Styela clava: one gene and its partner. The main gene of each other region encodes a partner of the protein of the gene in region 2 in a complex. Links are inferred from orthologs where the notes say so. Each region holds a gene or a part of one and is shown on either strand. Other genes may lie near its edges.

Region 1 (3,762 bases), on a different chromosome or scaffold from region 2:
CACAATTTTAAAGTTGCCACAAAAAATTTACAATGAAAAACGACATTGTTCAATCATCAATGAATTAATCAGCTAGTTTCAATGAAAAAAGAAATAAGAGCAAGAACGATTGTTTATCACATAATTAATGAATACAGTATATCATGGAATAATATCATTATTACCATTTAATAGTAGAATATGAATTTGATATCCAATAATAAATTTCCCAACTTTTTTCCAACTAATTGAATTTAATATAACAGCAAAACAAGATTTTGAATGTAACTATTGTAATGCAGTCATAGATGTTACATGGGTGATGTTTCCCTAATCAACATGGAAAACAGGGGTTTTAGTACCTGAAAAAATTGCGATAAATTCGAAACATTTACTAAAATTGATTACATCAGCTTGCTTAAAGTTAATGGCATCTGAGAAAGATGTTTTTCAAAGATCCATCAATGACATAAAAAAAAAGACGATTTCCTAAAATTTTGTAATTTTTCTGTAAAATCCAATTTTATGTCAATTTTTACAACAAATAGAAATTATTCGAATGATTACCTATCTATATTGAAAATTCCAAAAATATACCTTCTAGTACATTAAGTTTGATATCAGTTATGTAACATCCAAAAATGATAGCATAATATGTTACTATGGTAACGATTCCTACCCTGAAAATACTGGCCACAAAAGTTAACATAACTATATTTGGTCCTAATATTTAACAACAGGATCCTAAGGCAGTGCCTTGAAACAAACAAAGGGGGAACATAATAGAGCTGAAATCTAAAAATTAAGTCAGTCAGAATCTCAATTGGAAAATATATTTAAAGTTTTTGTTTCCACAATCAATTCATTTCGCCAAAACTCTGTGCAGTATATATGGATGAATGCTGGCATTAGAGGTCAGGGCTACCGTTGTGAAAAATTCAATGAGGTGGCCTGGTCAGATGAGAACAAATTACCATATATCCTCGCATATAAGCCGAGTTCAAAACTAAAAAAAAAGTTGTCAAACTAAGGTGTCGGCTTATAAGCGCATAACTCTGATCGCACTTGAACTAAATGACATTTCATAAATAAATACCGCAAACTTAAACTGAACGATATTATCATTAGCAACACCAGGCTAACAATAAAACCGCGATAGATACTAAATAACATTTAGAAGCTATTTAATAGGCTGGAAATGCAAAAACTTCCCGTTATTCTCGGTCACTGTCAATGGAAACAATTATTTATCACACAATTTGCTGTGGTCGCCCAGATATGTTAAATATTCTATAATAATTGTAAAATACTTTCAATCAAACGTCCACGACGTGTTATAAGTACTGCAAGTCGGCGCTGATATAAATCCTTTCATGTCGGCAGTAATTTAGTCGCGTCACAATGGGCTGTCTTCGATTACGATAAAACATAAAATATAATAATCGAAAAATGTTTTTAATTAAAACGTGGACAGGGGCGCTAGAATGTGTGTGCGATATTCAATATTAATATAAACACAAAACGATACTAGAAGGTAGCGAATACCGATATTTGAATATTATTAAATTCGAATTGAACATCATTGACTGTTATACGTGCATACGGTGTGTTACGATTTGTAGGGTCAGCTTATATGAGAATTTTTATAAATTCACTATTTTAAAGCGGTTTTTGTGGGGTCGGCTCATATGCGGGGATATAGAACATGGGAGCCAACCAGACAAGATAATAAAATAAGCAGCTGGTTATTTCAATTATAACAATAAGCATCAATTAGATATTCTGCATATAGTAATAAAAATAACCTATCCACTCTTAAGATCGTTGATATATATAGTTAGACATGGGAGAATCAAGCATTAATATACCAAGCATATGAATTTTATTTAAAGAGAAAACTGAAATTTTTTGTTATCAAGTTTTACCTTTATTTGGCTTCATCAAATTTAATCAGTGATTCAAATCATTGAAATCGGAGAAAAAATATCATTCTCGTAAAATTGATATTGACTAAACACTTTGGATATTATGGACTATATCATAATTATTATACTGGATAAATATAATGATAAATTTAAAACATCTTTCATAGAGAAAAAACCTTCGTTTCAAGGCATTTTCCAGTTCATTCATTGTAGATGCAAAGAGTACTTGAAATTCTAGTTCTACAGCATCTTATATTCAAAACTTCTTTAAAAATTCTTCAGCACAGATTCTGGCACGTGCGTTGACAGCTAATTTCATTTCGCTTATTTCTTTGTCAATTTCTTCCATAAAGTGAATGACGAAATCAACCAATTTATGCTTGTACATTTTCTCTGTGTGAAAATTAGTAATCAAGAAACTAATGTCGTACCCAGCGACTGGTTTTCTACGTAGAACATCGAAACTTTCAGCTCTCATCATCATAAACCTTGTGAATTTGCTACAAAGAATTTGTTCCAATTCGTCAGCTTGTTTTATGGCGATGCTGACGCGGATTGAATTGATTGAAGCTTCTATCATGACTTTTTCTTTTTCGTTCCTCGCAATGACCAACGGCGTCATCAACAATTCTTTACTGCTACGAACTTCGACTTCTGGTTTATTATGCCTTTCCACGACTTGAGAATTGAAATTCTGGAGACACGTAGCAGCTGTTAAAGTAGACTTTACAGCATTCAGGTATGGTTTGAGAGTTGTCGACATCTTTTTTTTTCTTATTAATAATAGAAAACTGCACTAAATTTGTAACAATATTCTAATATTAGATTGTCAACAATCTGTAATGAAACGTAGAGGTTTACTAGAACAATTGAACGAAGACGAGCATGTTGTAATATTTTAGGAATCAAATTGAAAAATAAATGCAATACATTGTACAAGGGTATGAACATACAAAATTGTGACTAAAAAATCACCAAAAAACACAACGAAACTGTTATTATCAGACTTCTTTGAATGCTTGAAATATAGACTCATATCAAAAAACAGACAGAAATGGAAAATTAAGTTCAAAGACAGAAAAGAAACCTTAATTTTAGCGTAATTTATGATCTACAATAACAGTGTGGGTATAAAAATAGTGTGACATCCCCACCATAGACTTACAATTTTATCAGTGAGAATATTTCCCTGTTAAATCTGTCATGTCAATATACCATATTTTTATTACTAATAAAGAATTTGATATGGTTCTACACAAAGTTTGTCAAATCTAAGTACAGTTTCCAAACAAAAATATTTAAACGAAATATTGAAAAAATTAAAGTAACACAAAACTAATATACTATTGTCGACTATCATACTCTATTTGTTCCATGATATAAAACTACAAAGGCAGACAACACACTGACAACATAAAACATGTGATGCAAATGTAATGATTCAACTAATGAAATTAGTTCAGATATAGGTATCAAAAGAAACTATTGCCTGGCAAACAGAAACAAAGCTATGGCAAAACAAGCAGACAATAAGTATAAAATTTCAGTCAAAAAAATTTAATATTTGAAAAAAATTTTCAACCTTGAGAATGAATGCCATATAAATCTTCAAGTCAATCATTTCTAGGCGGTGGTGGCTATCAAATCAGCAATAAATAAGCAGAAGCTGACATTGAGATATTATTTACTGATTCCAAACTTGGCAGTGGAATTATAATAACAGGCAGAGCTAATCCATTCTGGCAATAATATTAGAAAAAAAGAATAACATCGTAAACAAAATTTGTGAATCTATTGTCATACATGATACAAAAAAAATTCGAAAATTAAAAAAATCTTTCATTAAAATAACGAAGTA
Region 2 (3,247 bases):
TATTAAATATTTGTATTTTATGACCTTGATTTGTAACGTCAATACTAATCATTTTATAGCCAATTTATTTTATACCCCTTTTTGAGTCCTAAGGGCCGCTGTCATATCCAAAGCTGTTGGTGTTGTTTCACTTCTATCATTGGGAGCGTTGCGATATTACATCTTTATATTTACCGCGCCTGCATCTATCTGTGCTTTGTCACTGACATACGGATCTTGAGTAATAAACGAATTAGCTGTGATTTTACTGGAATTGCGGTATTTACTGTTTTAATTTTAATTATATCTATTTATTCACATGTTTATGTTCTTTAAAATAAGGATCATAATTGCCTGGAGTGAAAAAAATGAATATTTAGCGGCAACGAGCAGGGGACGGGGAAAATTTAAGACTAGACTGCTGGATGAAAAAAAATCAACTCTAGACTCGTTGTTGAAAAAAATTTAGACTACGTCACCCAGACTTAAAAAAAACTTTGGCGTATACGAACCTTCCATTCAATCTGTAGTCTGTTCTAAAATTTCATTCATAAGATTTCGGGTCACTGAATTCTGTGAATTTCATGATAATAAAATAGTGGATGGAATGCCATTTACTATTTATTCATGATTAATATATCTTCAATATTGAAGTGGAGTATTGAAAAAAATCAACATTAGAAAAATCGGTGCTCCCGAAGTATGCGAACCTAGATGGCGGACATCGTAACGTAACATGGGTAACAGGTTAGGGTTAAGCGATAATTTTTTTTACAATTTTTCTTATTTTAGTCCTATTATCAGTTCGAAGACTAGCCAAGAGCCTCCCGTAGTATTTATACCTAATATTATGGCCTAACCATAACCTAGTACACATATTACATTCCGATGTCCGCCATCTTGGTTCGCATACTTCGGGAGCCCCGAAAAATCAGCATTTGCCACGAATATAAGTATCAATTTATCATTACATATGCCTTTGACATAAAATGACTTCATATAATCATGACATGAACAAATTACAAAATTTGAGAGCAGCAATAAAAGAGTATCAACATCTTTTGCATGCTACAGGCGGTAAATGAAGGGGCACTGCTTTGAATAAATAAATTTGGGTCATTGAATCAAAACATTTCTGAAGTATGAGTAAGCAAGTCACACAATGATAATCTCAGTTTGGGTTTCAAAAAAGCATTAGTTCATCGCAAAACAATGTGAACTTTATTTCAGCACTTCACTATTGCTAATGCAAATTACTGCAACTCGACTCATGGTATATATCGGCAGTGCAGTAACTAGCTTTAAAAAGTTATTGAAACTCTGATAACCTGTGGCTAAATGTTCAGCGGCTTGCACTCAACACTGATACAATATAGATATAATGATTATACAAGTGGAACAAATTTTTAGTCATTGTTCGGACATAACCATGTGATGTATTGTATGCCCATACAGTTCATACACATAATTTTTTTAATTTCTGGAATATGCATTATAGTGAATTGTTGTCCAAGTTCCACAGCAACATTATTGGCCAGGTGCAGACAAACTTTTGTCCATGAAGCGTCGCTTGGAGTAACAGATCCACCATTTATTTAGCGAGTTAGTGCTCGGATCATAAACTTTATCCAGGAGCCTTTCTCCAGCTTCATGTCGAATCTGCTGGAAGTATGCCTTCATCTGATCCGCATCTTGTCGAGATTGAGGCTTTGCATACATTGCGTTAAGAGGAAATCCTGGGTCCCCTGGGATATCGAAAGGAGACACAGCAAGACTGTACATCTCTTTCCTGCCTTGTTCTTTGGTAGTGGTTCTCTGCAATTTCTTCAAACATTGTTGTAGATACAGGGTAACATAGATCAAAGTGCGATCTGCATCTCCTTTGATGTCATAATTACGAAAAAATATGTTTGCACGATAGAAATACAGCGCTTCATCAATAACATCTTGTTCAGAATTTGGAGGGGCTCTAGGAGCAGGTCCTCGAAACTTTGTGGTACATCGCAATGGCAGCAAACCTACATTAGCAATTGACTTGGCAGGTATTTGGTTAGAGTGATAAGCTGGCATAATGATATTTCCTGTTGAAAAGTATTAGGAAAGTGTTAATTTATTAGTATGAATATTGTAATGAAAAAAGTCAAGAGAAATTAAACTCTTATTATTGAACTCTGGCTCAAATGACTTTTAGATCCACCAACTACATTTCATGAAATACTTTGTGAGCAATACAATTAATATTATTTAAGGCAAAGAGGTGTGAGGGCAAAAACATAGGGTGAACAGAAATCACACTTTGTTATGAACTTGCAGTTTGTCACTTAAACTACGCCAGCGATTCCCATACTTTTTGTTTGTGGGGTGGAGCCAAATTATTAAGAAAAAAACTCACGGCGCAATTACATGAAAAAAATTGCTGCCTTTAAATAAAACTCAATTTTGTGATCGTTAATGTTTACCTTATGCCTTATAAAGTTTGTAAACATGTAGGCCTAATATATAAAGCCAAAAGGACAACTCCTTTTTCTCATCTTTGACTGATTTTCCCTTGAAATACTAAAAAATCGTTCATTTTCGCTAAACTTGGTTCAGAAAATAAAAATCACTCATGTTCGCTAAAATCGGTTCAGAAAATAACTAAACTGCAGCTCGCGAAAAATTGCAGCAAGTAGTATTCACCTTTATTGTTACGTAACAACAGAGGCAGACACTACTACGTAAGGAAAGTAAACAACATAGAAAGGTGAATTCATATTCCAGTATACACAGCATTCAAACTAAGAAACAATGAAAATACAATATGTAAAATATTCAATCCTATATTAGTTATGTTTAACACAATTCTATTAATTTTCGCGGACAGGCAGAGCACTTAGCAAATCGGCGCACCTATTGGGAGTCGCTGGTCTTCAGGATTTCAACCTGTGAACACAGGGTCATCATCACAAAGTCACAGATAAGATGGTGAGCGTATTCCTAACGCTTATTACAGTGAGCAACTATGGGTCGAAATATTTACTGTGAAATATTAAAATAACTGAACACCTTTACCATTCTTTGAGGTAGTGAGGCTCTGGTGAGAAGTCTGTGTTCATGATTCCTGAATACTTGAACGACTACCCTAGAATAGAAATCGTCATATCCTTGCTTGCATACACAACCAGACAGCTCTATTTGACTATAGGATGTGGAATGCGATTTATTGCTCCACACTTACACCATGACAGTCTTCTGTTTACTTTTGCTGTTTCATAAAGCAGAAGCAATT

The links. The genes of interacting proteins can lie anywhere in the genome.
Region 1: actin-related protein 2/3 complex subunit 3-like (region 2) and actin-related protein 2/3 complex subunit 4 share a complex: the UniProt entries of both Caenorhabditis elegans proteins name them as parts of the arp2/3 complex. The link is inferred for Styela clava from reciprocal best matches to the Caenorhabditis elegans genes arx-5 and arx-6.

Annotation. Positions count from the first base shown.
Region 1 is NC_135255.1:6,168,786-6,172,547, forward strand, and holds the start of actin-related protein 2/3 complex subunit 4, read right to left. Parts: upstream 2,804-3,762; 5' UTR 2,668-2,803; coding exon 2,161-2,667; 3' UTR 1-2,160. UniProt on the Caenorhabditis elegans protein: Functions as actin-binding component of the Arp2/3 complex which is involved in regulation of actin polymerization and together with an activating nucleation-promoting factor (NPF) mediates the formation of branched actin networks.
Region 2 is NC_135257.1:4,072,206-4,075,452, reverse strand, and holds actin-related protein 2/3 complex subunit 3-like, read right to left. Parts: upstream 2,081-3,247; 5' UTR 2,050-2,080; coding exon 1,507-2,049; 3' UTR 583-1,506; downstream 1-582. UniProt on the Caenorhabditis elegans protein: Functions as a component of the Arp2/3 complex which is involved in regulation of actin polymerization and together with an activating nucleation-promoting factor (NPF) mediates the formation of branched actin networks.